5 linked regions of the Nothobranchius furzeri genome follow. The main gene of each other region encodes a partner of the protein of the gene in region 4 in a complex. Links are inferred from orthologs where the notes say so. Each region holds a gene or a part of one and is shown on either strand. Other genes may lie near its edges.

Region 1 (6,912 bases), on a different chromosome or scaffold from region 4:
GAATTTTGAAATTATATTTTTTATACATTTTGCTAAAATGCCTTTTGTTGTGCGAGGGTCCCCAGTGTAGCTTTTTTTAAGGAACCTCCAAGGGTTAAAAAGATAAGCAAACAACTTAAACTGAAGAATGTTACTAAATTATCAGATTTTTCCCACTCAAGTCCTGCTGGTTTTACACCTTTGAATAAAAACAGACCTGCAGGCCACAGCTGGCTCCTTCCACGATGGCCATACAGAAGGCTTCGGTCAGCGACGTGTTGAGGAAGATGTGTCCCTGAACCAAAACGCCGCGGACGTCTTTATGCTCCAGAGCTCCGAGCAAACGAACTCTTCAGCGAACAGAAAAAAATATTTTAGCCTCATTAACAGAAAAACAATTTTAAAGGCATACTTGGATCAGATCCGACTGATTTCACCAGACAAACTTAAAGGATAAAAATCACCAACGCTGAAACGCTTCTAAATATAAAACATTGAAATGTCATTTCAGCCATAATAAAAACATATAAAACATTCTTAGTTGTCAAGTTTTGCATTTTTCTTCCACAATCTCAGGAACTACACCCATCCAACCTACCGATCATGCAGCTGGTATTTCTCTCTCACTTCCTCCAGCACGAGCCTCTTTGGTCCCTCTCCGCCAATCAGGAAATGAAGATCAGGATGTTTGAGGCAAAGCTCTGGGATGATCCCACCCAGAAGATCAATTCCTAAACAGAGAAGGTTTGTTTACAGTTAAAGTACAGCAGCCTTTTATTCAGCTATGTGTGTGTGTATATATATATATATATATATATATATATATATATATATATATATATATATACATACAAGCAGTTTTATTCCTGCAATCGATCTCTTTTTTCCTCCTTTATACTCTTTTCACACTTTGTTTTTGTTAAAAGTCTGGAGATGATCCCACGGGGATTTGTTCAGAATGACCTTTTGAAGTTTGTTTATTGTGCAGCTCTGAAACTACTAACAGATATCTGAGAAACCCAACTTTCTTGATCTGACCCTATGACCCACACTTTTATTAGTAGGGCTCAGAAACAGTAGACTGGAACTGAAATTGACTGAAAGTCATTATTCCAGAGAAAGGGAGCTTAACCACAGAGCTGTGTGCTTTCTGTTCCTTTGTGTTGCAGACAAATTACATAAAGGAAAATAAAGAAAGAAAGAAAACGATCTTTTGTATTTATATCTCTCAAGATAAAAATCACAAAGCATCATGAGCCCAGGAGGTGAGGTTAAAATGTTGGGAGTTTCCATGCTTTTTTAATTATTATAAAGGCATCAGGTAATACAGGGTATATGCTGGGCTCTAACAAATAAATGGTAAATAGCCTGTATTTGTATAACGCCTTCTTAGGGTTCTACAACCCCCCCAAGGTGCTTCACAACACAATCACCCATTCACACACTGGTGGTAATGAGCTACAGTGTAGGCACGGCCGCCCTTGGGCGCACTGACAGAGGTGAGACTGTCGAGCACTGGCGCCAACGGTCTGACCACCACCAGCAGGCAAGGCGGGTTAAGTGTCTTGCCCAAGGACACAACAGCAGCATTCAGCACCACTTCATCAGTTGGCGGGATATGTCACGTCCATGATAGCAGGGCTGTAGCAATGGTACGTAAAGGCACGTGTTACGGAAACGCAAGCAAAAAGCCGGCATGAAAGAACAAATAATTATTTTATGATATTAGTTTACTTTCATCTATTTTTATACAACCTTATGGTAAATACACATCAATACTAACTAAATTTAAGACTTTTTAAATTGATTCAAGATATTTAAATACTTTTTAAGGATCTTAATTTTCCTCAAATAAATTTATTAACTTTTAATGCTTTTCAAGACTCCCCAGATATTTGTTCTTCCTTTTCTTGATTGTCAGTGCAGTTTGCACGACAACTGGGTCAACCATCTTCCATTCTAGCTGTTAGGCGCTCCAGATGAGCAAACTCAAACTCAAAAAAGCCTCGCATGATTGATATTGTTTGACAATTTTAAAAATACTTGTGTCAATTTTATTCAGTACATTTTTGGAGTAACCTGTGAAATGCTCTAAATTTGGCCTATTTGGCCTACATTTTTACAATGTTCCAATGCAAACAAAACCAACACATACATTATAAACAAGCAGAAAAGAAGCAAAGAATGACAACATCCAACCCAACAGGGTCTGGGTACCTTTGCGGTAGACGAGCCGGCTGATGACAACTATTGTGATCCTGTCAGCTGGCCGCTGGGACGGGTCAGGAGTAAAATCTGTAGGGTCAACAGCATTGGGAATGACAGACACGATCTCTGGGTTGAGCACAGCCCGGAGCACCGTGTTCTCCTTACTGGTGTAGGAAACACACACAATGTGGTTGGTGTCACACAGCGTAATTGTCAGAAGCTTGTTGGTCAGCACGGAGCTGAGGTCAGCAAAGCCAAAAAGTGAGTGGTCAGTAAACACCTGGTATTAAAAGAAAAACATTTACATTACTGAACTGTGTGTTATTAATAAGGGAGACATACATGGCTTAGAGTCACATACGGTGTTGAGGCCCATGGTTTTGGCGTGGAACAGTGCATCGTGGGCCATGGAAGAGAATGAACTGTGTGCGTGTACCACGGTGATCTGCTCCCTGACAAACACACAGCGCAGCAGTGGGAGACTGTGGACGCAGGTGGTGGCTGTGGACTGGCTGTACATCACTTGCAGGGGCAGGTAGTAGACCTTCAGTCCATTGGTTAAATACCTCACACCCCTCCTCCTGCCGTAGGCATGAGTGGCAATTACCACCTTGTGTCCCTTTTCAATCAGACACTGAGAAAGCTGATAAATGTGGCTTTCTACTCCTCCCATGTTTGGATAGAAAAAGTCAGACACCATACAGATGTTGTGCTTCCTGTTGCAGATTCTGGCAACATCTGCGGAGTCTCTTTCAGATGACAGAGTTTTCACTGCTCCTGCTCTCCTTCGCTGGCCCATCGTGCAGTCCTCCTGTGGCTTTTCAATCAATCAGAGCTGAAATAATTTATGATGTGCCGAATAATATCACATAAAGCAAAAGATAACAATTAATTACAATGAAAGTCAAACTTATTTTATGAATCTCTTTCCTCAAATTTAACTGTGTCACATTCATTTTTCATTTTAATCAATACTTTTCTATATAGCATTATATTCCTAAAGAATTTTAGCTAATTTTCTCAAAACTTATTGTGATTATTACTTTTCTCAACCTCTGTTAATAAAACCAAAACTCTTAATAGCAGCAATCTACAATACAACAATGAAAACAGCTAGTACCATTACATTTAAATGATTCATAATGATTACACTGAACAACTTCTACACCTTCAGTTTACCAAAACTAATGCTGGAGGGTGTCTGTGCCTGTTTAAAAGGGATTGAAACCGTTTCTAAAATGAGCACACTTTATTCACATTGACGAATCTCCCGTTTAGGACCATGTACTTGACAGGAACCGTGGCTCATCGACACAAGTCATGACTAGTAAATGTAACTCAGACATGATTTTGAATAATAACTACCGGTAACTAGCGTCTGTTTTTATCAAGCTAATAAACCCATAGTTTATACTTAAAGTCAAATATTGCATCCTATACTTGTTTAAAGTTACAGCCACCTTACCGCGAAATTAAATGTCAGTCTTGTTCTAATCGGTGAAAACAAAAACGACTCTGGTTTTGTTGAAGATTCATGTCAACTCCGTAGCTCTTTGCTAGCAGATTAGCTGCCGGTCGCACTTCCTGTTGATGCCCTACGTCACTCGCAAGAGGCATGCGCGGTCCAGACCCTAAGCTTTGGCGCGCTCTAGAAAATAACAACGTTGTTAACAACAACAGAAAAATCAAGTTGGTATTAAAACGGGGGCTACACAAAAGAAAGAAAAAAAGAAGAGCAAAATATTTGTTGAATATACAATCAAATTTACTTTTTCAAATGAGAGAAAATGCTACAAATGTTTAGGAAAACAGCAAGTTTTCCACTGATTTTTGCACTGTCCATGCTCATAATTGGACATAAACTTTCAAAAATGTTCACTTTTGGCTGCAGTCATATTTTCACTTGTTAGAATCAAAACAATGATTACTATAACCTTTTCTAGGCATACACCACCTTGGAATGTGTTTATTCCCAAGAATCTTGGTAAACAGAATGTTGTTTTTGGATAACAATATTATAAATTACTGTAAACTTTGTATGTAGGTGTATATTTAGTATTGAAGTGCAGCAGCTGAAAACTCACCTGTTCAGACCTTTGGTGTTTTTGTGTGAGCTTCATACTCTCTCCTTATTCAGCTTTGTTTTTTACCACTTCTGCAGGATCCACTGATTACATCTTTCTTAATTTTCTTTCCCTTTCCTTACATTTTTTAAAATTACAATTTTTAAAATTTTCTCATTTTGTGATATATTTAATCATTTAAAAAAAAATTTTTTTTTGCTCTTGTGAAGTGCCTCCTGATTTTTATCCTGAGAGGCACAATATAAAATATTGCTTCTTCTTCTTAAGACTAAAATATTTGAGTGTGAAAGGTGTTTGGTTAGCCATGAAATCAAATATTGTTCAGCTAGCATCATCCACTATAGTAAAGGGCCTGCTCATGAGCAAAAAAATACTAAAAATGATAACCAAACAAGTTGGTTTGCTTCAGTAAGAAACAAGGGAAATTAATCACCAGATTTGTTTTCTCAGAATTTATTAGAAAAGTATTGAAATTCAAATCCCAACTATTTTAGGCTTGTAAACATATTTTTCATGTTTTACGTTTTCTTTTTTTATCCACTGAGTCTTGTCAGGTTTCACAGAGTGCATCAAAAACTGAAAGTTTTCACACAGCAACAATGACAAAAAAGAAGGTATCACACAAAAGCAAACAACAATAGTTACTATTTCAGGAGGCAGTGGCAATCTTTGCTCCTTCCTGAGGAGCATTATGCCTATTTTTTAATTTTGTTTACCTTGAAAACTTTACACTTTCACATTTTCTTTCTTCATCTTCTGCAAAAGCACCAGATGTCTGAATCAGAATTAATATCTACCCCCACACTTGTCCCACGCACCCCAAAAAAGAAAAGAAAAATCAAATTAAAAAATTCTAAATGTTTTTCTTTGACATCAATTATCATTGATATGCATCAATTCTACTGTCAGACCTCTTCAAAACCACAGAATTCTCACAAAATTGCAACAATAATCTGAATAAACAACATAATGTACACATGAAGATAAATAAAATATTTTTTACAAAAAATGGTTATAAACATTTACAGCAATATCTATACTGGTAGCAAATACATGACACTGAATCTTTACAAATTCATAATAATAAAATGAAGGCAATAAAATATTTACATGTGCAGAGACTTTAACTGTTTGAGCTGATCAATGATGTTCTCTTCGGAGATCAGCTGTTTGAAAAGGGACATATACACAAAACCAACATTTCCATTTAATAATGGCTCTTTGATGGGAACAGGTTGCCGACCCCTGGTTTAAGTGTTTCAATTTTTTTTAATGAATTTGATTAAAAATAAAGGCGCCCGGCCCGGCCAGTGTCCGAGGTAATTACACAGTCGTTGGCCCGAAGCCTGGCCCGAGGGCCGTCGGGCCGGGCCGACCCGAGGGCCTAGGGCTTCAGTGCAGGGCTCTAGAATCAATCTATCAAAGCTTTATTTATAAAGCGCCTTCCGCAACCCTGTCAGGAAGCCCAAGGCGCTGAACATGGTACAATACAAAGTTAAATAAAGTGAATAAATCAGAAAATAAAAGCAATTCAAATTACAGATTACAAATTACAAAAAAGGTGAAAAATTCTAGTAGAAGACAAATGTGTAAAACAAGGGAAAAAGTGTACCAATGAAAACTGTGAGATGAAATCAACATAAAAGAGGGCCAAAATCAAACATGCTCAGGAAACGCCAAGCGGAGGAGGTGGATTTTTAGGCGACTCTTGAAGACTGGCAGAGATGGGGACAGCCTAACTGAGGGTGGCAACTGGTTCCATAGTGACGGTGCTAGGACTGAGAAAGCCAGGTCCCCGCAAGTACGACACCTAGAACGAGGGACAACGAGCAGGCCTTGGTCAGAGAAGCGCAGAGCGCGTGATGGGGAATGCCTGTTCAGGAGCGTGGCCAGATAGGGGGATTACCACCCTGGAAGAAATTAAAAACAAAGACGAGGAGTCTGAAGTGTGAACGATAGCAAACCGGAAGCCAGTGCAGGGAGGCCAGAACCGGACTGATGTGGTCCCGTTTCCTGGTCCCAGTCAGGAACCTGGCTGCGCTGTTCTGCACAACCTGTAGGCGACGCAGTGATGACTGACACAACCCTGCATAGAGAGAGCTGCAGTAATCAAGCCTAGAAATTACAAAAGCATGGAGTACCCGCTCCAGGTGGGCTCCTGACAGCATGGGCTTGATTTTTGCAAGGCGTCTCAGGTGAAAGAAACTGGACCGGATCACAGAGTTGATGTGTGCATCAAATTTAAGTCCAGCATCAATTTTCACCCCCAAACTGGTGACAACTGGTTTTGAGTAGGGAGAAAGAGAGCCAAGATCAACATGACAATCCATTCCTGCTGTTGGGGTGAAAAACAATGAGTTCTGTCTTTCCCTCATTCAGATGCAGAACGTTGGCCATTAGCCAAGACTCCACCTCGTTAATGCAGGACACAAAGGACTGGATAGAGTGACCTTTCTCCTGACACAATGGAGCGTCAATCTGGCAATCGTCAGCATAGAGATGGAATGATAGGCCATGTTCATGAAAGATTGACCCCAGAGGAAGCAGATAAATGGCAAACAAAAGAGGACCAAGGATCGATCCCTGCGGGACCCCCCAGCGGAGCCCCTCCCAAGAAGAAAAAACATCACCCAGTTTAACA
Region 2 (6,868 bases), on a different chromosome or scaffold from region 4:
GTAGCGTTAGCTGCTAATGACCTCACCCCGTTAGTTTCCCAACCCCGTTAGCTTAGAGTTAACATTATTAAACCTCTGTGCAGTGACAGTCTGGTGTAGACACCTCCTAGTTTTCTGGTGTTTCATTTCTCCAGAAGCAGATAAAAAAGATCTTCATCTGCTAAATCTGTGTTTTGGAGCTAACCGCCTTCCTAAATAATCCAAGTTGACATTAATTAAGTAATGAAAGGTGGAAAAAGTCCAGTGTGGACTCCACTAAGTGCTTTGGAGCTGTTAGCTTGCTAACACCGAAGCTAAGTGCTCGCCCCGTAATCAAAAGGTTGCAGGTTTTAGCCCTGCTCAGTCTGTCACTGTTGTTGTGTCCTTGAGCAAGACACTTAACCCACCCCCCCCACCCCCGGCTGCTGGAGGTGGTCAGAGCGACCGGTGGCGCCAGTGCTCGACAGTGTTGTAACACGCCTTGGGGGGTTCCAGGACTCTAGAAGGCGCTATATCAAAAACAGGGTTATTTACTGTTTAGCTGCTAGCAGACCTGCTAGTTGCTAGCTTCCCTGTTTTTGTGCCGAGTTATTTATTCGGTTAAAGTTTTAACTCTTTACTGCTAGCATGCTAGTTGCTAACTGCTCCGCGGTATTTTTATACCAACGGAAGGAAAAGTGTGGACACTGATGATGTTTTTGTAAATCAAAGAAACGTTATTGAGGGAACATTTAGATGAACTGGTTTTAGTATCTAGTTTTTTTTTATTTGGTGTGTAGGTTAAATGACGAGTTGGAGCTCAGATCCTGTCCCTTCTCTTAAGTGAGTCTAAAGAACCAGAACCAGACCGGGTCTCTGTGAGGCTGTTGGTACCAGAGTCTAAACATCCAGTAGTCTGTGGTTCTATTGGGCTGAGTTCTGGATGCTTCCCAACCATAAAAGGGACTTTTGTGTTTGTTATTGGGAATTCTGGTTCTGGTACCGTGGGGGTGGGGCTTCTGCTGAACTGAAAAAACAAAGTTCTGTTAATCATTTTGTTCTGATCTGTTAGGATGAGTGTTTTCTGTGGAGACTGTAAACAGAACCTTTACAGAGTCTTCTGGACCAGCGAGCTGGTCCTCAGGCTGGTTTTACTCAACAGAATTTACTCCTGCGATGTTAACTTCCTGTCTGGTGGTGTTAAACTGGTTTCACTGGGATTTGGTTGTTTTAACTCTGCTGCTGCTTTAATTCACAGATCGGCGGTTTGAGGAAATTCTGGATCCACTACTTTTTATTTATATGTTTTTTTATTTATATTTAGGGAACGATTTAACCAGATGATGATTTAGCTGAAGGCAAATGCCAGAAGATTGTATTCCTATAAACCTTGGAACCACTGTAGGGTTTTATAGGAGCTGTAACTGCTTTTACCTCCTTTTGTAAACATAATTATGAAAGTCACGTGAGATCTGATATTTTATGTGTGTACTCTGTGAACCAAATGTAATAAAACCTGTGGTGATTTTCCATCTCTGGGTTGAGATTGTTCCATGCGGTCATAACTCAAATATTTCTGAAGTTTATTTCATTTCATCCATAATTAGATTGTCCTTTAGCTTTTGTTCAGTTAATGTCTTGTTTCTTTATCAGGGAAAGTTTTCCTTCGTTTGAAAAACTGGAGAGGATTCAGAAGTCTTTCATCCACAGCAGTTAAAAGTGAAGTCCAGCACGTTGTTCTGGTGCGTGTGTGTAGGTCGGTGTAGGTCCAGGGCAGGAAACCTGACGGCCTGGTTGGAAACTACTAGAAGCTTCCTGGATGAGAAGCCACACGTCTTCAAGGGAAACAAGAAGAGTCCTGTTAATTCTAACGAAACTTTCAAGATTGTAGTTTTAGTAACTAAAGCACATTTTATTTATATAGCACTTATCAGAGTCACAAAGTGCTTCACATAGATCAAAGCAAAACAGTGTTCGCTAACAGAAATGGATTCACATCAGAAAAGTAAAACAAAAAAAAGATGATTAGAAATTCGGGGGGGGGGGGGGGCGTGTTTTTAGTTTCCTTCTATAGGAGGATCTTTTGTGACAGCAGTGCTTTACCGGGACTTTTTTCCACGTTACGATGACTACCGGTAGTCTTTCCGGTCATTTATTAGGAGAAATCTCCGAGATTTATAAAAGAATCATTTGCCAGCCATCCTGTGTGTGTGTGTGTGTGTGTGTGTGTGTGTGTGTGTGTGTGTGTGTGTGTGTGTTCGTTCGTTCTGTCTTTTCCATCCCCAGTGAGTCGTGGTGGATGGCTGCTTATACTGAGCCAGGATCCTCTGGAGGTTTCTTCCTGTTAAAAGGGAGTTTTCCTCTCCACTTTCGCTGCATGCTTGCTTAGTATGAGGATTGCTGTAAAGACTCTGACACTAGTCAGTGACTCGATGCAACCTGCTGGGTTCCTTATATAGGAAACTTGTTACTGATTGGCTTAATGTACTGACCTGTACTGGAATGTTTACTGTGTGCAGGCCCATGAGACGACTCTGATCGTGATTTGGCGTTTTATAAATAAATTGAATTGAATTGTTTGGAAGCGCGCCACGCATACAGCGCCATCAGCTCAGACAAGAGGAGAGAATAAAGAGACTCACACTGACGTTTTCAGCTGTCCCAGAGCTCATATGGGCCTTAAAAACGTTCACCAAGAATCAAAACTTTTTCTAGTTTGATGATAAAAGTTCTGCTGATTCAGAGAATGGCCAGCTGGACCGGGAGGTCGGTAGATTAAAACACACTGAATACATTTGGTGACCTGACATTCAAAAGTATTAAAGGGGCCATTTTTCACCAGATTAGACATGTTTGTCCTTAAAGACCACCACAAGACCTGCCTCGCCACGTGACGGGCGTGGCGTGGTACACTCAGACTGGAGTAGTGTATTATTATAGTACTAGTGTGTACTCATAAAGATCTATAAAAGTCTTTAGTTCTGAAACTCCTTTTAAACCAAATGGAAGCTGTTGCAGTGGTCGACCACCAGGTGGCGGTAGAGATCGAGTCTTTCTGAGGGATTTAGAAAACGAAGAAGAACCCGGAAGTAAACAATCTTTCAGTACGGGGCTGCGACAATGGTAAGAAATGTCAATTATTTACAAATGAACGCAGTTTTAAACGGACAGGTGTTGTTTTAAAGAGGGCTTTACTTTGTGGTTTGTGTGTTTAAATGTTAGCTTGTTTAAGCTAATTTTAGGTTTTAAGTTTCGTTTATTTTGAACTCATTTTAATGACAAAAATCACGTTTTAAGTCTGTTTACGAAGAGATGGACTGCCTTTTTCTTTCGTTACGTTTTTGTCGGGTTTATTTTTTCCTTTTAAAGTTTATTGTCGTGCTTTTTTAAAGACATGCTGATGTTCGATCCGTCGCCAGTGCTGCGCTGTCCACCCTGTTGTTTTTCACTCAATCAGTGAGACACCCTAATGGAGAGAGAACATTCTGGATTAAATCATTTATTAATCCAAGAGATGAGGACGATAATATAAGGTCTAACATTTTGGGGTAATGATTCATTTGGAAAAAGATATAGATAACTTCATCAAAGTAGAAGGTAATTAAGAATAAAGCGATTTTCTGTTTTTTCTTTTTTTTTTTATCTGCACAGTTAACTAGATAGGAAGAATGATAATTTTCAATCTTTTATATTATACTACTTTTTTACATTTCATTTTTATTTATTTAGTTATTAATTACGATTATTATTTTTTTAATTATTGAATTTATTCAATTTTGTTTAAAGACAGTAAAAAAGTAGTTAATTATTAAGGGGCAGTGGAATATTAGCAAAGCTTAAGGATTCATTAAGGACACAGGGAGCAGGGAAGAGCTAGGCATAATGCCAGTCATTTAAGTTAGCAGATCTTAAAACGGGGATCTGTACATGGTTAAAGTTGGAAGTGGAACATTTGAGTGGGTTACTCAGAAAATGGGTGGGTGGGGTTTTTTGTGTTTTTTCTTAAGAATGGTTTGTTCACTTAAAGTTCGTGTTTTGTGTTCCGTTTTGTTCGTACTCTCAGACAAGTTTAAGCATTTAGAAGTGCATGTGAGGTGTGATGACTCGGGAACTGGAAGTTAAATGTACCTCTTGGAATTGTAGAGGCTTAAAAAGTACTAAAAAGATTAAGCAAGTAATGACCAAAATGAAAGATCTGGAAGCTAAAATAATTTTTCTTCAGGAGACGCACTTGCTGGAGGAGGAACATATTAAGGTTGGCAGGAGGTGGCAAGGTTCGTTGTATGCAGCACCATTTAGATCCAATGCTCGGGGAGTAATCACATTAATACATAAATCAGTACCTTTTCAGGTTAAGAATGTAATCAAAGATAAATTTGGTAGGTATTTGATCATCCAGGGATTACTTATACAAGAAACCATTAACTTAATTAATGTATATGGACCAAATACAGATGATGATGCATTTTTTACTAATCTTTTTCTCACAATTTCATTACTCCAAGGAAAATGCATCATAGGAGGGGATTGGAATTGTGTACTGGATCCCTGTAAGGATAGACCAACTGGGACTGACCAGGCCCATAACAAAAGCCGAAAAACAATTCTTAACTTCATGAAGGAACTTCAGTTGATTGACATCTGGAGACAGTTAAAACCTGACGATATAATTTTTTCCTGCCATTCAAAAACATTTAATACATATTCCAGAATAGATTATTTTTTAGTATCAGCAAGCCTACTATCAAACATAAGGACATGCTCATATGACAGTATATTACTATCGGACCATGCTCCCTGCAATATCATATATACACATAAAAACTTAATAATGGAGCGTAGATGGTGTTTACACCAGAAATGGCTGAATGATGAAGAATTCCTCACTTTTGTAGAAAAAGAAATAGATGAATATTTTACTATAAATGGTTCACAAACATCAGCTAGTATTAGGTGGGAGGCATTTAAGGCATGTTTACGGGGAGTTATAATTGCATATACTTCATCGAAATCTAAAGAAACATGTAAAACAAGACAGCAAATGGAAAAGGAAATTAAAACTCTAGAGGAACTAGTATTCAAAAGTAGAGACCCAGTAACAGAGAAAAAATTGCTAATACTAAAAGCACAATACAATAAAGAATCGGCAGATAGAGCGGCTTCGAACATTTTGAGATTAAATCAGTCTTTTTATGAACAAGGAGAAAAACCTGGAAAAATATTGGCATGGCAAATTAAACAATTGGAAGTGCAGAAAAATATAACATCGATTGTAAGCAGCAAAGGGGAAATGATAATAGACCCGATGGAAATAAATAAGGCGTTTAGAAACTATTATGAAAAACTTTATGAATCTCAGGATAGATCAGATCAAACCTCCAGAAATGCGTTTCTGGATAAAATAAATATTCCTACTATTGCAGATGACTTAAAACAACAATTAGATGCAGAAATCACCGAAGGGGAAATAAGCAGGGCAATTAACAGTATGAGTTCAGGTAAAAAAGCGGGACCAGATGGATTTCCAATTGATTTTTATAAAAAATTTAAAAGTAAATTAGTGAAACCATTATTGGAAATGTATCAGGAATCATTACACAAAGGAAGTCTTCCTAAATCAGTAACGGGTTCGCAAATCATTTTGCTACCTAAGCCGGGAAAGCCGAGTAATAAATGTGAAAATTTGAGGCCGATAAGTTTACTCAATTCCGATATTAAGGTGTTAGGTAAAATATTAGCTACACGTTTGCAAGGTACTCTCCCCTCAGTAATTCATAGAGATCAAAATGGCTTTATATTGGGACGCCAAGGTCTGCATAACGTAAGAAGAGTCTTTAACATTATAGACGGAATAAACAATTCGTCAGAGAGCGCCTTACTCTCGCTGGATGCCGAAAAAGCATTCGATAGGGTCGAGTGGCCCTATCTTTTTGATGTTCTGACTAGATTTGGGTATGGAGATGTGTTTCGAAGATGGATACAATTATTACATTCAAATCCAACTGCTGAAATCTTGACAAACAAAAATGTCTCTGAACCAATAAGGGTGAAACGGGGATGTCCACAAGGCTCACCGATAAGTCCATTGTTGTTTGTATTAGCTATAGAACCCTTTGCTATAGCCGTACGTTCGAGTTTATCGGTGACAGGAATTATGGTGAATGAAGTAGAACATAGGATCTCGTTGTACGCTGATGATGTAATAGTATATCTCTCAAAAATAAAGGAATCAATACCTGCTCTGCTTAGATTGATAGGGGAGTTTGGTCAAATATCAGGATATGTCATTAATAAATCTAAATCATCCGTTATGTTGCTAAATGAGGAAGAAAGGGACAACCCACCCACAGTAACATCCCATTTTAAGACAGTAAGGGACTTTATGTATTTAGGGATACGGATTTCGTCTAAACTAAGTGAGATTGTGGAAAATAATTATGAAAGACTTTCTAAAGAAATAACAGAGATAGTGGACAGATGCATATCTCTACCAATTTCTTTAATGGGTCGGATTAATATATACAAAATGAGTATACTGCCAAAGGTGCTTTATGTGTATCAGAACATCCCCTTGCCGCCTCCTGTGGATTGGTTTAGCAGGATCAAAAAGCTTGTTCTCGGTTTTTTATGGCAAAATGGGAGACCAAGGATAAGATTGTCATTGTTACATCTACCATACAATGAGGGTGGTGTCATGTGTCCAAATATTGAGTGGTACTACTGGGCATGTCAAATAAGGTCTATAAGATACTATTTTGACTTAAATAACGCCCCGCAATGGTCAGAGATGGAAAGTATGAATTTGCATCCAACATTACCATTATATTTTTTCTCAGACACAGCAGTAAACTTGATTAGAAAGGCAAAAAACCCAATGGTGAAGAACATGGTCAAAGTATTGTATGGTGTA
Region 3 (6,190 bases), on a different chromosome or scaffold from region 4:
TGCTGTTGTGTCCTTGGGCAAGACACTTAACCCACCTTGCCTGCTGGTGGTGGTCGGAGGGACATGTGGCGCCTGTGCTCGACAGCCTCGCCTCTGTCAGTGCGCCCCAGGGCAGCTGTGGCTACATCGTAGCTCATCACCACCAGTGTGTGAATGTGTGTGTGAATGGATGAATGATACACTGTAGTGTAAAGCGCTTTGGAGTCCTTACTCTGAGAGGCGCTATACAAGTGCGGGCCATTTATCATTTATCATCTGTCTTAGAATGAAGCAGAACAGCTGTTATGGGACAACGTAACATTTGGTCAAGTCATCACACACAGTTGATGTTTTTGGACTTCCTGTTTGCCCAGACGTGCTCTCACATCTGTGCATTTCTGTCTGAAGGAAGGCTAACATCCTAGTGTCGGTTCTGGTGGACGTGGCCCTTGGCGTGTTTCTCATGTCGTGGCTCTACAGAGACGATCACATCTCCATGCTGGCCGACGCCCTGGTTCCTGCTGCTGACGTACGTCCGAAATCTGAACCAACAGTGTTTTGTTCTTTTTATCTGCATGATTTTCACACATCAGGTTTGTTCATTAATTGCATTAGTAATTAGTACTAGCTGATGACCAGTGATGTGCAGGAAGAGTAATAGAGAATTAAAGGCCTATCAAATCACAAGATCGTGTGAACTTTTGGAACACGAGTGGAAAATAACTCTCAGCTACTAACGCATAAGATTAGCTCATTATGTGTAAAAGCTGCAGTTCTAGTTATTTATGAGTTAGATCTTATTGATTGGCTGTGACGTCCGTTTTTAATTAGGCCGACTACAAAAGCGAATCCATTGCAGATGACCACCTAATGCATCATTTCTAGGAGGAGCAGCACATGTTTTAGGTGCTGCTTTATTTCTCCTACTCAAGCAAACCACTCATTAAATGTTGACAGAAACACCCGTGAAGTAAGCAGGTGAGACCAAGCAGCACTTATTGAAATCTGATCGTGCTGCACAAACGAAGGATGGACACAGCGAGGACAGAAGTGACAGAGCAAAGTAAAACCTGTTTTTTCTTTTTGTCCTTTTAGTGAGTTGCTGATTCACTAAAATGGAACAAAGTCACTCCAGAGGAAACATGTTCAGGATTTCTAAAACAATAAACATTTTCGTATTCCCAGTCTGCACCCTCTTACTTTTACTTTTTTTACTAATGGGAAATAATGATAATTGAAAAGAAAAGAAATAAATAAACAAGTTTCTGATTTCGGTCCTGATCGATGGACTCCACTTTCTCCTCACTGTCTGATGCGATGGGCATTCCTCAAGGAAGCGGTGCACCGTTTAAGAGGATTTTGATTGAGAGTTTTTAATCTGAATGTATCTGCAGCAGGATTCTAAAGCATCTGACAATGTGTTTGTAAAACTCATCACTTTAAGAGACGATGGATTAGATTAGATGGATGTTAATCATCTATAAATGGTGCAGAAGTCTGTTCTTGAGGGCTGAAGCCTAATTGTCATTTATTCACATCCCTTTGGTAAATTTGGGCCAGAGTTAAATCAAAATACTGCATGTACACACACACACCCTTCCTCATTTTGGTAGTGGGTGTAAACACATAAATACTCCAGGTGGCTCTTCTTCTGCCTCATCAGGAATAAACCCAGTGATGAATCATTTGCAGCAGACCAGATTACTGTAATTTCCGGACTATAGAGCGCACCTCAATATAAGCCGCACCAACAATAAAAACGGTTTTCTACACACACACGCTGCACTCAAACACAAGCTACGGCGCAGCAGCCGCAGGTCTCCAGCGCACAGCGCATGTACGGCCATAACATGAGATAATTAGACAGAAAGACGCTACACGGAGGTTTTTCGTTGTTTTAATTCAACAAAAGGAATTTTAAACACGGGTGAACGTGCCTGCAAGTTTAGAAAAGAAAACAGCGCTGATAGCATTCATATTTCTGGATGGTTATACAATAAAAACAGAGCTGACACGTTATTACCGGTCATTTGCATGTTTAGAAGAAAAGAACAGCGCTGACACAGCATTAATAAGCCCTGGATGATTAGAAAATAAAAACTGCACACAAAACATGCCTGGTTAGTAAATAAAACACACCTGCCTACCAGAAGAAGTCATTCGCTCTCATCTTCCTCCTGCGCTCTAAAGCCATTAAAGTCCTCTTCTTCAGTGTCGGAGTTGAACAGCCTCAGAAGAGCTTCGTCACATACCTTTTCTGTGGCGATGTCCGTGTCGCTGTCATCATCCCGGGTGAAGCTGGCTTGAATGAGTTCTTCCCGCTGCCGTCTGCAGCGCCGAACCATGGATTCATTCATGCCAAGCTTACGTGCGGCAGCGCTGTTTCCCTCCTTTACTGCCAGATCGATGGCCTTCAACTTAAATGCGGCATCATATGAACTCATACGTGTAGTTTCCATAATGAGGGGGTATGGATTTGAAACAAGTTCTTCGTCGTGCCGGCTGCTTGCATGTGCTAAATTAAAATGAGCACTTTCTTCCATTTCCACTTTTGACTTCCACCTGTTTCACTTTCTGCCTAAACGCCCCCTAGTGGCAGTTGAAGGAAAATCTTCAGTAAAGCTGCACCTCATTATAAGCCGCACGGTTCAAAGCGTGGGGAAAAGTAGCGGCTTATAGTCCGGAAAATACAGTAATAATATTTTGTTATCTTTTGAATCCTCCTTCTCAGCATGTGGCTCAGCAACTGGAGGAGCTGCTGCAGTGGCTGATGGGAGCTCCAGCTGGGCTGAAGATGAACCGGGCTCTGGACCAGGTTCTGGGCCGCTTCTTCCTTTATCACATCCACCTCTGGATCAGTGAGTCCACGCAGAGTTAGAACAGAACCTCACCAACGCCCCCTGCAGGCTTCAGCGTGCCATCTTGTCCTTACAGGTTACATCCACCTGATGGCGCCATTCATTGAGGGGATCCTGTGGTATGGAGGTCTGTCAGCCTGCTTCGGGCTGACCTTTGCCCTTTCGCTGCTGTCTGACATGGTGGCGCTGTTTACTTTCCACATCTACTGTTTCTACGTCTATGGAGCCAGGTACTTGAGATTTATTCGACGGCAAAGCACAGAAAGTTAACATGGCTTAAAACACTCGGGGAATTCTACGTTTACTTCAGACTGACTGACACCAAAAGACCTGATCATCATTACAATAATATGTTGGAATATGTTCTTTTTTTTACTTTTTTTTCACACACCTTAAACTACCCCAACTTTGATTTCTAGTTTCCATCTTTACTGTAAAAGGCAACTTAAAATATTATCAGAGGACTGAAGTAGGTCCAGCAGCATCCGGGCCGTCTCCTAAAGGTGGTCCGGCTTTGGGATCAAGTCTCCACTGATGCAGATCTTGCTCAGGAATGGCAGCAGGCAGGTCTGCAGCAAATAAAACACCTTTCTCCCTGAACCCATCAGGGAGGGACAAGCTGAGATTCAGAAATTATAAACCTGTGCTCCTCCACCAGCGACCTGCTGAGGTCTAGAAAAATGCGAGCAACACTGCAAATATAGACTCTTGCATGAAGCTAATGTCACTTTAAAATGATAAGTTCATCTCATTAAATGCCATTAATTCATTTTCAGTTTCTAATATTTGACAAAAAGATTTTATAAAATTGAAGCACATTACTCATTAGCCCCGGCCTGCCAGACTCGTCCTGTTTAACTTTCGCTTCCAGCCTGGGGCGGGCTGGTCAGGCTATTCAAAGGCTAGATGTGAAAATTAAGGTAGCCACAGTAAAACACCTGCAGGGGGCAGCGTTCCTGTTATGAACTTTAAATAAACTATTGATTCTGCCACATTTCTTTGTGTAAATAATAGAACTACACTAGTTTCAGACCTGAAGCGTGACTATTGGACATCAATAAAGAAAATGCTGAGTCATTCACACAGAGGAAGGACTCAGAATTGTTTTTATTATTTCAGCTTCTGCAGCAGCTGCAGACCTGGGTGTTGTGTTTACATATTTGGGTCAGAGTTGGAGAAGAATCGCCTCGGCCCGGCTTGTGGTTCACTCTCTCTGATGAGATGTTTGTGTGCTAATTACGTCTCAAGCAACAGCAGTCATAAAAAATCATGTCTGTGTCCTCATCACCTGTGTCTCCTCTGACCTGGAAATGACATCTCGAGGAAAGTCTGGGATCCTAAAATACACCTGGAGGGGGGGGGGGGGGGGGGCACAGGTGTATGTGTTCTTCTTCCGGCTCTTGGAGGGTGCAGATGCTTTTGTCCTCCTCTCCTTCATATCTTATCCTCAAGGCCATTGCCTGTCGGTGTGTGTGCTGGGTGCACTGCTGCTTCTGCATTTTTCTGGAAACTGAAATTCACTAAAATGGATCTCGTCAGTTGGTCTCTCAACGCGATTGATAACATTTTTTCAACGATGAGAACGGGAGAAGGGGCTTCCGGATGCCCCACCGGGACATACCCAGTTGGACACATCATGGACTCCTAGAAACAGTGGAACTTGATTTGTTTATCTCAGCTGTCTGTGGAGGACTCTGAAGATGTGTGGATATTGGTGTCGGGTTTCCTGCTCATTGGCCTTGGAGGCTACCTGGCTTATCGGAAAATTAACAAGCTGTTGAGGAATATTGGCCTGATCCCGGAGCTCAGAGATGGTTTGCACTGCGCTGTAAATTCACAGACTCACATAATTGTCAAGATGAATCGTAAGCTTGGAACTTTGGCCGAGATTCATTCTTTGGCACAAAAGATGGATGCCATCAAGGAGAGAGTGGACGAATCAGCACGGATTGGGATAGATTAATGTCCATTATTGGGAGGTTGAGGACTAACAAACTGTAAGACAGAGAGGAAATTATCTCTGTCTGGCCCCAAAACAATTTCTAATCGGAATCTGGTGTCCTTGAGCCTGCAAGGCTCCAACGAAAACTCCCCCCTCAGAAGATATGTGGAATGTGCCGTCGCTATGGCAACTCAACTCTGTCTCCTATCCCAGCCTGGGTGGGACGGCGGGAAGGCCGCTTAAACGTTCCAGGGTCACTGCAACCCTCCAACCCTCAATGCTCCTCTCCCTATCCACACTGAGGTGACATGCGCTGCTTATCGTGGCTGCAGGAACTGAAGTGTGGATAGTCCCAACCCACCACCCCACCTAGTGGACACTTATGTTGTGTGTTGTCTGAAGTCTGTTGCATCTCTGTCCGAGGTGCTTTTTGCAGAGCAAAGCTGCCCTCCTGGTGGGAGGGTAACTCTGAAGTACCTTTTTTCCCTCCACCTGAACCAATCCTCATGTTACCCTCCTATCTCTATTAAGGTAGCGCGACTCAGGGTTGCGAATGACCACAGTCGCCAATTCTTGTCATGTGTCTTGCCCATATATGTCTGATCTCTGAATTGTGTGTACTGAAACTCTAATTTCCCTCTGGGATTAATAAAGTATCTTTGATTTGATTGATTTTATTTATTTATTTTTTTTTTTACCACAGATGACTTCGACGATGTGTTTTTTTGGCACCATTTACCAAAGAACATTTGTCTTTCTCTAGAAAAGAAACCAGTGATAGTTTTTAAGATGTATTTAGTAAAATGTGTAAATCTGTGTCCCACATTACGGGTAAACACGTTCCTTTTGGTTATTTTCCTTTTTCAGTCTGAAGAGATAATGGCTGTGATGAAGGCCTGAGCACTGTGATAAAGGAGGATGGATTAAATTATGTATTTGATCTAAAGATGGTGCTCGCTCACCCGCGGTGGAATTAAATATTTCTCACTTTTTCTGTTGCATATTTATGCTCCACCAGCTCTCAGAATCAGGCTCATTGTGTCTTTTAAATATCCTTTGAGGAGCTTTGTGAGTAGAAAATCTAAAAATATCCACGCCGGTTATCACAGCAGGAGGAGGTGAAGGAGGAGGCGTCGCTCTCTCCTCCTCTGAATTTGTGTGCTTCTGTCTCTCACAAGATTAAAACTCAGGTGTGATTTTATGGATCGTTTTGTGGTCAGATTTTTGTCTCCAGAAACAAACTTCTGATGGTTTTTAACACCAGAGTTCATTGTTTCAACAGAAACTGTCTCTAGAGGAAATCATAAAAGTGAGCTGCTGCTGCAGTGAGAAAAATCACCAGATCTGAGGAGAAACTTAGTTTTATCATAAACTCAGAGACCAGTGATGTCACCTTTGACCCGGTAAACTG
Region 4 (6,644 bases):
GCTCATGACCACAGCTGAGGGTAGGAACATAGATCAACTGATAAATCGAGTTTCACCTTCTGGCTCAGCTCTCTCACCACGACAGATCGATAAAATGCCCGCATCACGGCAGACGCAGCACCAATCCCCCTATCGATCTCATGCTCCATCTTTCCCTCACTCGTGAACAAGACCCTGAGATACTTAAACTCCTCCACTTGGGGCAGGACCTCATCCCTGACCCGGAAAAGGGATTCTACCCTTTTCTGACTCAAGACCATGGTCTCAGATCTAGCTGTTGAACCTTTTCATTTGGAAACAACCTTATTTTTGCATAAATACTGAATCTGGTATGACCAAATTACACACGGGCAAGTAAATTTTAAATAAAATGCATCAGTAGGTACCTATGTCCAGTGTTGGGAACGTTACTTTAAAAAGGTAATTAGTTATAGTTACTGTTTACTTTGTCAAAAAAATAACTCAGTTACTTACCGAATTACAAGATTATAAAAGTAACTAATTACCAAAAAAAAAAATTTTTGTTGCATTTTTTCATTAAAGAATGCAAGATAAATGGGTTCCCCTCTTAATTAAACTTACTTAGTTTACTATAAATTACTACAATACTAAACTATAACTGACTAATGACTGGAACATAATAAATTATATGTCCAAATGTTTGTTATAAAACTGGATCATTTAAATAAATGGGCTCTTAACAGGAGGAACTACAAACAGGAATATTACACCAATCTAGAATATTAAAATGTCACTGTGTGATATTTAACCAGACCCCAATCAGCTAAAGTTTATAATTGCAAACAGAAACACCTGTAAAGGTTACTGAGCCTTTAAATGGTCTCTCAGTCTAGTCAAATTACTGTAATAAATGTAATTTTGCAAAATATTCTCATTTTTCCAGCTTGACATGATTGTGTGTTTTTAGCAGCATTTCTGTTGCTGGTAATCTAGTAATGGTTAAATAAATAAATAAATCCTTTAAAATGGCACTAGAAGTGGCACAAATCTGATGGAGGACTTAAATTTACTAATTTGGATCAGACCCAAACACAGAAGCTGGGTGGTAAAGACACACAGGTAGTTCTAATAACACCTGAGCACCATGACGTCTGAGACTGATGCATCAGTGTTACAGCAGGGCTAAAGAAATGAGCAGAAACAAGTTACAGTTGGGTGATCTAGGAAGGTAGAAGATCGTGATGTCCGAGCGGTGAACAGGTGAGCGGACCTTCGGGACGTCCCGCTGTCACGGCAAGAAGGGCACGGCTGCAGATTCACGCCTGCAGCAGCGAATCTGCGGATCTGCAGCCGTAGACTATTCATCACGTCTTCCTCGTTCTTCACGGGTCGTGATGCACTTGGATTAAAACATCCGCCTCTTCAGCTCCCGAGCAGCTGACAGCTTCAACACACCACGCTGCTGAATTACTAACGCTCGCATTTTCTTATCAGTAACGTAAACGGCGTTATGATAAAAGAAGACGATAATTAGATTACTCGTTATTAAAAAAAACTATTTTTTTAGTAATGCCGTTATTTTAAACATTGTTATTCCCATCACTGCTCGACTAGATTTTTTTATTTTACTTCTTTTTTTATTTCTTAAAATGTGTATACATAGAGCAGTTGCCTTGCAGCAAGAAGGTCCTGGGTTTAGTATTTATTTTGATACTCAGCACAGTCTATTCTAGTACTTGTGGTTCTAGTCATAAATCCAAAATTTAAGGAATGAATTTGGAATGGGTGTCCACCAATGACTACACTTTAGCTTTTAGCGCCAAACTTGAAAAAATTTCCTTTTAAACTTTAAATGTTTCACACAACGTGTGGTCAGTCATATCCTGGAAATAAAGTCCTGTCCAGCGTTCACACTAGAGGAAGCTTGTTTTTACAGCTACTCACCCCTCAAAACACTTCTCCTTCACCAGCATGCTCTCTGTGTCTTTGCTCTGGTGTTTGCCCTGTTTCCTCCTCAGGATCTCTGCAGCTTCTGCTCCCAACGTCTCCTCAGCATCATCAGGATCTACATCATCGAACCAAAGATCGTCCCTGCAACAAAACACAATAAAGAGTTAGGAATACAAAACTACTCTGGTCCACAATGTCTTCTAAAATCAGTACGGTGTACACACTCTGTAGGCTTCCTCTCCTCTACCACTGGTTTATTCCTCTTGGCTTTCTGCTCGCTGTTGGACTTTCCTTTGTCCCGTTTCCTTTTAGGAGCAGCTGGCTGCGGAGTGTTGGAGGCAGCTGGAACATCAGAGTTCACCTCTGATTCCTTTTGAATGGCAAATTTAGGAGCAACTGTGTGCTTGACTTTAGTCTCATTGTCTTTTTCACTGGGAGTCTTGGGAATATTTTTTAAAGTTTTCTTTGGAAAGACATTCTGTTTGGGTGACACAGGGAGCTTCTTCTCTGGCTTACTGGCATTTAGCATCTGTGGAAGGTTTCAGAAAAATCAGATTAACTTTGTAAATACACACCAGCATCACACTGATGCACAGACAAACCTCTTGGAGAGCTTTCCAGTTAGAGGAGAACTGCTGAGCCTCCTCTGGAGGTGTAGGCAGGTGAGGTTGGTGCTTCTGAGGAGCTGAAATCTTCTGAAATTTGTTTTTCGAGTTGTGTTTTATCCAAAACTCCTTCCTCTTAACTTTAGCTGTGGATTTAGGGTCAGAATGTGCTTTCTTCTTCTTCGCCTTAGACATTATGGAAAGTGTTTTTTAACAAGAAGTTGTTAAACTAAACGTTGTCAGCCATGCTGACATTTCAAAAACAATAGACAATGGCTGTTACCGCTGTCACTTAAAGTAATGTCTCCTTACCAAAAATCTGCATCAAAAATAAAACACTAACGTAAACAAGCAGCTCATTTTTTACAGAACAGCAGATAAACGTGGTTCTGCGTTCAGTTCGCAAATTCCGAAGCCATGCTGCGTTCGTTTTCCCGGCTGAGCAACAGCCAAATGGGTCCGATATGAACAAGACATCCCAGTATGAAACGTTCTACATAGTTTGAAAGCACTCTAATATTCAAATGTTTATTTTCTGTAAATATGTACTAAATCATATAAATTAGTAAATCTTCAAACAATTTAATTTGATGTCATATTTTTGTCTAGTGTATCAAAAGCGGAACTGCTTACCCGGGAAATTTTTCCGACCGAACTAACGCTGGTGCAAACTCGCAGCTGTTCTTAGGTTTTGTTGGAAATGTTTCCTGTTAGTATTATTTTAGAAATCCAGCTTTATTTACTCGTTATTTAGAAACGTAGGGGCACAAATGTTGTGAAAATTCGGAAATTTTATGAACTGAGGTAAGATGACAGAAGTATTTAAGGATGTTTTAGACTCTGGTTTGTGTTGCTTGCTTATTTCCTCTGCTTCCTGTTTGGTTTCAGATCATGGTTGAAAACTCTCCGTCTCCTGTCCCCGAGAGAGCTATTTATGGGTTTGTTCTCTTCCTTGGCTCACAGTTTGGTTTCTGTAAGTCAAAAATAATTATTTTATTCTGTTTTGCACACACACACACACTAGAACGCATCTTTTAGGTGACAGGTCAAGACTGTTCTTCCTGTATAAAATCAGAAGTAAATGATCTTTATGTTTACCTGTAAATGTGTCTGTAGTGTTTTGTTTTATTTTTTATATTCATCCTAGCTAATACACAATCTTACGTTTGTCTTGTGTTTTTAAAAGCTGACACAAGTAAAGATGGAAGACAAAACACAGCGGTGATCTCAACACTTTAAAGGATACACCTTTGTTAATTTTTTTTCACAACTCCCATGTGTGGTGTCAGGGTTAGCGTCCAAGCAGCAATGCCCCTAAAACAAAAACAGTTCTATTTGTTTGGACATCTCTGCTTTTGTGGCAGCTCTTTTCTACCTTTATGGCAGCCATCATATGACTGATTGACCATGTTTAAGTTTAATTATTTAGTGTCCGTGTTCAATTTAAACAAATGTTCGACTGTTTAAAGAAATGTTATTTGATTAAACTCCTAATCACACATTTGAATGTGAGGTTAGATTATTTCTATTAGAAGAAAGGCTATTTATTATGATAATTTAGCTTCTCGTATGTTTTATTCCTCAATGCACATCATGACCTGCTGACATAAATCAGTGCCTGCAGTCTCTTTAAAGTCAAATGCTAGCTATAGTTTCCCAACTCACTGAGTAATTGTGATTTAAGGGACTGAAGATAAATAATAACTATATTTCTCCTCCCTCTCCACAGTTCTGTACTGCTTGTGGGCATTTATACCAGAGGAGTGGCTGCATTCAATTGGACTCACATACTGGCCTCAAAAGTCTGCATCACCTTTAAAATCCAGATCAGATTTCCCACCGACATTTGGCATTTGGGATTTCTAACAAAAACTCCCTGTTCTGCACAGATACTGGGCTCTTGCAATGCCAATCTACCTGCTGGTTGCAATATCGGTGTCATTTTTGGTGTTGTTTGGGATAAACATGACCAACACTGCTCCACTGGACTCTGTGGACAACATCACAGGTGAGGTCTGATAGCATCCCAGCTGTTATCTATGAAAGGAATAAGTGTCAAATAGCAGTTTAAAAACTAAATATTTAGTGTACATTTTGTCTTGTTTTTGTGTTACAGATGTATTCGCACAAGGCCAGAGGGCCGACAGCGACTGCAAAGGCGGAGTTCCTCGACTTAAAGATGTGTCCGTTAGTGAGGTCAACAGAATGTTTTATTTGTCCCCTGAAACATAATTGATAAACTGAGTTGTTGGCAGAGTAAAACTATCTGTGTTTTACCTGGTTTGTGTTTTAAAAAACTGTTAAATGTGTAATATATGATTTGTTCTTCAAAAATAGCCTCACAACTATTTTACAATACCCGTCTAACCTTTTGATTATTTTCAGTTTCATGAAACAATCACAGATGTTATATTTATCATTTAGTAAATATAAATGTAGAAAAAAGATCATTTTAAAGCTCAGTTTACCTGCTGGGATGACTTGATGGGGAAACAAGAGTCAAAAGAGCAACAGTAAATAACTTTGTGTTATTATGACTGGTTGTTACACTGATGATCTAAAGCATAACTGAAACTGTATAAAATATCTTCGTTTGTGAGAAACGGTGAAGTTTAAATTGTAAAAAATGAAGTAAAGTTTCCTGACAGAGAAACAAGGCATGTAAATCTCTTCTGAGCTTTATTGTAAGGTGTAATTTAGACAGGTGAAACGTGATAAATTACAAACGGTGCAAGTTTTCAATAATTCATCTTAAAAGATAAAACTACTATATGAGACACTCATTACATGCAAAGCCAGATATTTTAAGCCTTTATCTGTTATAATTGTAATGGTTATGGCTTGCAGCGTATGAAAAATCTCAGACAATTAGAATATTACATCATATCAATAAAACAAGGATTTTAAATAGAGAAATGTCAGACCTTTGAAAAAGTATAATCATACCTGTGTACTCAGTATTTGGTTTGAGCCCCTTTATTGTTTATTGAATTAAATGAACTTTTGCACGATTTTCAAACTTTTCAAATTTCACCTGTATGTGTAAATGAAATTTTCTTGCGTTTAAGCCACTTTTTTTAGTGAGTAACTGCAGAGATGGGTTACTGAGTGTGGGACTTGAGAGGCTCTTAAAGCTGCTAAAAATAACTATTGGGCATGACTGTGTAGTGATGATATGTTCAGTGTTTCTAAGCATGACTCATTTGGCCAGTGAAAAGAAAGAACATTGTTATTTTGTACTTATTTTAGTTAAATAAAATTTAAATATAGCATTTTAGATTTGTTTATTCTTGAATTTGGGGTTTAGAGCTATTGGAGTTTTCTCACACCATCTTAAACTCAGTAAAAAACAGATGATGATTAAAATCATTTTTGCAAAAATGGTTAAATCAAGGAATTAGTACATTTTTCTGCTGCATGAGTATGTAATAAATGGACTTGTATGGATGGGAAATAAATGTCACTGATGAAGACCAGATTGATTATTACAGCACACACTCCATCTGATTCTGCACAAAAACAACTGGTGACGCGGCTGACCAGCAGGGGGCGTCAGCGCGCCACGTTTGGATCGTCTCTCAGAACGAAGAAGAAAAGCTGTTTAGCTTTTTGAGCGGTTGCTTCGCATCCGTTCCACATTTTTCCCTTAAGTGTGTCAGCCGTACCGACATTTACACCGAGACGTAGAACAGATGGCCTTTGCGGTACCGGTGTGGCTCGCCGTCCAGGAGGAGATGCTCGGCAGCTTTGAGCCCGAGGAGGAACAAGATGGCGCTCCACCTTGTTTCGACAATTTCTCCGACGAGGCTTTGTTCGAGAAGTTTCACCTCTCCAGACCTTGCATCGCGTTCATCTTAGACTCCGTGGGCACACACATGAAAACGGTGGACTCCACGAAGCGCCACACGTCCGTGGACGTGATGCTCATGATCGCGCTGAACTACTACGCTCACGGAGCCTTCAGCTCGTCCGTCGCTGGGAACACTTGGATGAGCCAAACGGGCAACTTGAATTCTGTTGTTAAAACTATCTCTGGAGTCTTAGCGGCGATGTGCAAAACGTTCATCTCCTTCCCGCTTACAGCTGAGGCCAGAAGCAGAACCGCCTCTCAGATCGAGGAATTCTGCG
Region 5 (5,051 bases), on a different chromosome or scaffold from region 4:
AGATAGAGCACTATGATTGGCCCACCATTATAGACCAATCACAGCTCTTTATGTGTTTGAAACCCCTCTAGAGAGCTGTGATTGGCTAGCCAGAGTCCTGGTAGGAGCTGCTGAGGTTCCAATGGAGCATGCCTAGACATTCTTTGCAATGCAAGAATTTGGTCTAGTTCACTAGGCTACTAAACTGCCACACTAATCATTACACGTGTGTACTGCAGGTTATCAGTAAAAACAACTTAATTTAGGCGTGACTTGCTCTTTAACCACATCTGCTCCGCTAGACCCAAACACACCATGTTTATTTATAGAGCACATGTATAAACAGCATGACAGCGGACCAAAGTGCTGTACAGCAAGGAACAGAGGAGCGCCATAAAAAAATCAAATCAAACAACCTAAAGATAAGATTAAAAATAAGATAAATAAAAGCGCCATCACAACAATAATGGAACGAATAAACAACTAATGAATCATAAAACACGGGACTAAAAAATATGAGAAAAGAAAAGCAGGGAAAGCACAGTAAAACACCAAAGGCAGTCAGTCCTAGGATATAGTAAAAATAGGTCAATGACCAAAGGCAAGGTGATAAAAATAGGTCTTCAACGCCGACTTCAAACAGCCTAATGCAGGGGCCTGTCGTACTTGGAGGGGGAGGGCATTCCAGAGATTGGGGGCATCCTCGCTCCCCACGAGGATGCACAGTAGCTGATCTAAGGGATCTAGAAGGAGCATACGGTTGTATATTAGTTCAGCGAGGTAGGTGGGAGTTGGGCCGTTCAATGCTTTATAGACAAAAGGTATGATTTTGAACTGTGTCCGGTACTGCACAGGTAGCATGGACGTAATTTTTGGGGGGGACATGCCCCCCCCCCCACATTTTCCAAAGTCAAGTTTTGACCCCTGCACGTTTTACCGTCCAAAAACAATTTTACGCTATATTAAATTGACACTGGTTGAGCTCTAAGACCAAGCGGAAAACAATCGTTTGTGTTGAAGCCTGTTTCCCATTAGAACATACTGTAAAGACCCCCGTGTCCCCCCCACTTCTAAAGTGAAAATTACGTCCATGACAGGTAGCCAGTGTAAACGGGCGAGGATGGGAGTAATGCGACGACGTCTGGAGGTATTTGTGAGGAATCTAGCTGCGGCATACACGTTTGGGTGAATGGAGATTTTAAACAGCTTTTAGTGTGACTGTGTGTGTAGGCATCTTTAAAATGCAGTTTTTTCTGCTTCAGCACACCTGACTTTAACCTTTGTGTGATGAAAAGGCTGCTGCAGAGTTTGGTGACTTGCTGAACAGGTGATTCAGTCACAGAGTCAGCTGTGCTGGAGCAGAAAAACACTAAAACACGATGGATATGGGCCATTCCCATCTGTACGGGGCCGGGTAGCCCCAGTCGGCCCCAGCCTGGCCCTGTTGATTCCACACATCCTTGTCTTAAGCCCATGTGGGCTGATTCTACCCACCAATCAGAGGCTTGCTCTAATGGAAGGTGTGAATTTGCTGTCAGCAGTGGGTGTGTTGGCCCTGGTCGGCCTGAAGCAGACCCCCTCGAGAAGAGGGCTGAGAATGAGCCTTGGTTGGCCCGGAAAAATACCAGGCCACCCAGATATGTAAACAACCTATGCTACCCGGCCCGGGCCGACCCGGTACAGATGGGAATGGCCCAATAGGTAGATCTAAAGGGTCCGAGTTGGACAGCCCTGAATCATATGCTACGTATCACAAACCTCTCATGCTTTTATCAGACTGTGGTTCTTTTTACAAGTGTCACTGTTTAACAGAGAGCCTCCCCCCCCCCCCAGGTCGGAGCGGTCCAGCTGAGACTAAACAAACCCTTCTTCTTCAAGACAAAAGGAGAATGGCAGTCGCCTCGGCCGGAGTCTCCGCTGACCAAATTTTCTCAGGGCAGAAACCCTAAAAGCAAAAAGTGTCACTAAGGAAGGACGTGAACGTACGATGAAAGCTGTTCTTGTTTGTTTCGGAGCATTTTGGGTCAAAGGCTTAAAAGTTCGAGCTTTTTTAAAACTTGTTTTGTTTTGCATGAAAAGATGATAGTTTGTGTTTGAAGTACAGGCATGTTTGCTGGATTGTTCCTCCCTGAAGTACGTTCACATTTCATAAAACAGACATTAAATAGCTGTTCTGTGTGAAAATGTTTTTATCAAATAAAAGTAACTTATTCCAATAAAGTTGTTTATTCTTTTCTGCAAGAACTGGAAAAATCCAAGAAGTTCAGTTGTTAAATCGGTTACATTTATCCATTTTATAACAGGAGTTTGTTCAGTAGCAGTTAGCGTTTACACGGACTCGGTTACTATGAGTCCTACCTGCAAGCCTAAACTTCCAGACAAGTAAAACCCAAGTCTAGCAGACTTTAACAGACATGAAATAAAGAAAATAATGTTACTGAAGTTGGTAAAGGAGGTAAAAGTGCATCAGAAAACATGCCGTGGGTTGTTTTCAGAGAGCATCCTAGTTGTGTCTGAAGAGCTTGATCCCCATCCAGCTCCAGAGATGGAAGAAGACGTAGACGGGGATGGTGACCGGCAGCAGCAGGCTGTAGAAGCACAGACTGTTGCCGCTGGTGCAGCCTTGAGGGAAGTTCTCATCCACGGCTGCAGAGTAGAACAAGCCAATGAGTGACACGATGGGGACCAGTCCCACCATCACGGACAAGGAGAGCATTCTAGCAGATTAGCTTTACAGTTTTTTTCTTTAAAAAAATAGCAGTGCTCAATCGGTTTTCTGGCAAATGAAGGTCTTTGATAGACTTTCTGTTACTGTGCAGGTGGATTAGAAGCGTCTGTGTCCTTCTGAAGGAGTCTGGCCTCCTGGGGGATCATGTTGGGGATGCCGTCGATGATGGGATAGGCGATGCCAAGCTCCTCATTGATCAGCTCGTTGGTATTGGCATCATACCTAGAGGAAAGAAAAAGAACATCAGTTATCTGGAAAACAGATTAGACTGTTTTATGCGTTGGTTCAGTCATTTCTAATAATGAATGCCTAGGTCGCAGGTCGATGATAGACTTTGAAGTCGTATCATCCGACCTGCGGCCGTGTGTTTTGGACACCAGAGTGAAGAGAGGAGCGGAGCTGTCAACTGATCACCACCTGGTGGGGAGTTAGATCAGATGGCAGGGGAAGATGTCGCGTAGACCTGGCAGACCCAAACGCATAGTGAGGGTCTGCTGGGAACGCCTGGCAGAAGAACCTGTCAAGACGGTCTTCAACTCCCACCTCCGGCAGAGCTTTGACCGCGTCCCGAGACCAGTGGGGGACATTGACTCCGAGTGGGCCTTGTTCCACTCTGCGATTGTTAAGGCGGCTGTTGCTAGCTGTGGTCGCAAGGTGGCCGGAGCCAGTCGTGGTGTGGAGTGTGTCGAGTTTGGAGGCAGGAGAATCTCGTCTCTGCTTTTTGCGGATGATGTGGTCCTCCTAGCTTCATCCAGCTCTGACCTTCAGCTCTCGCTGGGTAGGTTCTTGCTGCCCCCGCGACCCGGATAAGCGGAGGAAGACAACGACGGTGTGTGTGTGTGTGTGTGTGTGTGTGTGTGTGTGGGGGGGGGGGGGGGGTAGATTTCACCTTTACACTGCCTCTAATGCAGCTTTGACTAATTCTTAAGTAGGATGTATTCAAACATAGTACATCCTTGTTTAATTGATGTAAACGCCCAAAACAATTTCCCAATGATGTTACTAAGCCAGTGAAAGAAATCCCTTAATTTTTGATAAAAATCCTAATAAAAAAGATCAGTTAGTATGAAAGGTGTTAAAAACTGCTGTGTCTCAATGGTCTGGCTTAGTTAGCAACACCATTTAGGAATGGTTTTGGGTATTAAAATCAATTAACCTGGCAGCTTTTGAAAGAAATCACTTCATTTTTTATTTAAATCCTAAAAATAATGATCAGATCTTGCGAAATGTGCTAAAAGCTGCAGTGTCGCTGACCGGGCGAACCAACGTCTGTCGAAGATCCAACGTCCAACTACAAGCTAACTTCACCGCGGTACAGGACAAGCGCGTGCCTACGTCTTAATGCTTTTATATGAAGTTAGAAAGGACGCCGCTAGTTAAAAAACTAAAATCAAAACAGATGAACTCTGAAACACTTTGTTGCCGTTACCGGAGTGGCTTCTTGGACAGCGGACACACCAGGAAGTCCAGCAGGGAGGAATCGAAAGGCGGCTGCACTTCGTCCTTGGCGTCGGTCAGACTCCTCACCGGGACTCGGGCGGACGTTAACGACGGTCTAAACGCGGCTCGTTTCACATGACGATCAAAACGAAACGTTTCTGTCACGAGCCTGCTCACAACATTCCTAAACATGACCAAGTCCTGCGCGGCGAGCTCGGCGAACTCAACAACAGGAAGTACCAGCTTTGGTGTAACACTAAAACATGAGCCGGAACCTCTTAATATGTCCGCTGACTTCCGAGGTAGGATAAAAAAAAATCCCACAAATGAATTTAAATGTTTATCGACGTTTAAATTACTATCCGATTTATTTAATGTTAATAGACATGAAACTAAAATCCCATAGTTCTGGTTATTTTACAGTAAATTAAAGAAGGCTTGTTTCTACATTTGTCCACTGGATGGCAGTGTTTCACCTTTTTAAATCTCATTACGGCTGTCTCTCCAAAGGCAAAACCAAAAATCTAAAAATAAGGTTCTGATCCAGAGAAAATGTACATTTTCAAGTGTATACTTTATGATATTGCTTGGATGGTTTCTGACCTTCGATGCATTTGATTCACCAGAATGAAACTATGACCTGGGTCCTGTCCACTTTAAAATAAATTATCTGATGTGCAAACACGGTTTGTGGACTTTGCAATGGTTTCTATTTGTATTCTTGTTCCACAGATGCAGTGAACATGATTTCCCAGCAGGTTATCACTGTACAGTGTTAAATATCGTCAGAGACCCTGCTGCTAGTGAAGAGAATACAGTTTCCAATCCATATGGCTGCAGATATTGCTCTGAGACTTTCCTGGCAGGGCCCCAACTTGTTTTAAAACTGCTTCTAGCTGTAATA

What was found.
Region 1: pigp (region 4) and piga share a complex: the UniProt entries of both Homo sapiens proteins name them as parts of the glycosylphosphatidylinositol-N-acetylglucosaminyltransferase (GPI-GnT) complex. The link is inferred for Nothobranchius furzeri from reciprocal best matches to the Homo sapiens genes PIGP and PIGA.
Region 2: pigp (region 4) and dpm2 share a complex: the UniProt entries of both Homo sapiens proteins name them as parts of the glycosylphosphatidylinositol-N-acetylglucosaminyltransferase (GPI-GnT) complex. The link is inferred for Nothobranchius furzeri from reciprocal best matches to the Homo sapiens genes PIGP and DPM2.
Region 3: pigp (region 4) and pigq share a complex: the UniProt entries of both Homo sapiens proteins name them as parts of the glycosylphosphatidylinositol-N-acetylglucosaminyltransferase (GPI-GnT) complex. The link is inferred for Nothobranchius furzeri from reciprocal best matches to the Homo sapiens genes PIGP and PIGQ.
Region 5: pigp (region 4) and phosphatidylinositol N-acetylglucosaminyltransferase subunit Y share a complex: the UniProt entries of both Homo sapiens proteins name them as parts of the glycosylphosphatidylinositol-N-acetylglucosaminyltransferase (GPI-GnT) complex. The link is inferred for Nothobranchius furzeri from reciprocal best matches to the Homo sapiens genes PIGP and PIGY.

The regions. Positions count from the first base shown.
Region 1 is NC_091754.1:25,444,772-25,451,683, reverse strand, and holds the start of piga (phosphatidylinositol N-acetylglucosaminyltransferase subunit A), read right to left. Parts: upstream 3,784-6,912; 5' UTR 3,653-3,783; intron 3,126-3,652; exon of another isoform or gene 3,023-3,125; 5' UTR 2,987-3,022; coding exon 2,549-2,986; intron 2,468-2,548; coding exon 2,197-2,467; intron 711-2,196; coding exon 578-710; intron 330-577; coding exon 197-329; intron 1-196. UniProt on the Homo sapiens protein: Catalytic subunit of the glycosylphosphatidylinositol-N-acetylglucosaminyltransferase (GPI-GnT) complex that catalyzes the transfer of N-acetylglucosamine from UDP-N-acetylglucosamine to phosphatidylinositol and participates in the first step of GPI biosynthesis.
Region 2 is NC_091746.1:70,783,590-70,790,457, reverse strand, and holds the start of dpm2 (dolichol phosphate-mannose biosynthesis regulatory protein), read left to right. Parts: upstream 1-2,978; 5' UTR 2,979-3,078; coding exon 3,079-3,081; intron 3,082-6,868. UniProt on the Homo sapiens protein: Regulates the biosynthesis of dolichol phosphate-mannose. Regulatory subunit of the dolichol-phosphate mannose (DPM) synthase complex; essential for the ER localization and stable expression of DPM1.
Region 3 is NC_091745.1:17,745,389-17,751,578, forward strand, and holds part of pigq (phosphatidylinositol N-acetylglucosaminyltransferase subunit Q), read left to right. Parts: intron 1-387; coding exon 388-508; intron 509-2,710; coding exon 2,711-2,837; intron 2,838-2,913; coding exon 2,914-3,067; intron 3,068-6,190. UniProt on the Homo sapiens protein: Part of the glycosylphosphatidylinositol-N-acetylglucosaminyltransferase (GPI-GnT) complex that catalyzes the transfer of N-acetylglucosamine from UDP-N-acetylglucosamine to phosphatidylinositol and participates in the first step of GPI biosynthesis.
Region 4 is NC_091756.1:33,914,940-33,921,583, forward strand, and holds pigp (phosphatidylinositol N-acetylglucosaminyltransferase subunit P), read left to right. Parts: upstream 1-3,151; 5' UTR 3,152-3,320; intron 3,321-3,404; 5' UTR 3,405-3,407; coding exon 3,408-3,489; intron 3,490-4,245; coding exon 4,246-4,318; intron 4,319-4,405; coding exon 4,406-4,524; intron 4,525-4,632; coding exon 4,633-4,748; 3' UTR 4,749-5,176; downstream 5,177-6,644. Other genes in the region: rexo4 (RNA exonuclease 4), read right to left, coding at 1,906-2,052, 2,136-2,440, 2,514-2,711; si:dkey-197c15.6 (putative nuclease HARBI1), read left to right, coding at 6,209-6,644. UniProt on the Homo sapiens protein: Part of the glycosylphosphatidylinositol-N-acetylglucosaminyltransferase (GPI-GnT) complex that catalyzes the transfer of N-acetylglucosamine from UDP-N-acetylglucosamine to phosphatidylinositol and participates in the first step of GPI biosynthesis.
Region 5 is NC_091744.1:85,182,723-85,187,773, forward strand, and holds phosphatidylinositol N-acetylglucosaminyltransferase subunit Y, read right to left. Parts: upstream 2,696-5,051; coding exon 2,483-2,695; 3' UTR 2,187-2,482; downstream 1-2,186. Other genes in the region: triadin, read left to right, coding at 1,813-1,947; pyurf (protein preY, mitochondrial), read right to left, coding at 2,788-2,929, 4,137-4,339. UniProt on the Homo sapiens protein: Part of the glycosylphosphatidylinositol-N-acetylglucosaminyltransferase (GPI-GnT) complex that catalyzes the transfer of N-acetylglucosamine from UDP-N-acetylglucosamine to phosphatidylinositol and participates in the first step of GPI biosynthesis.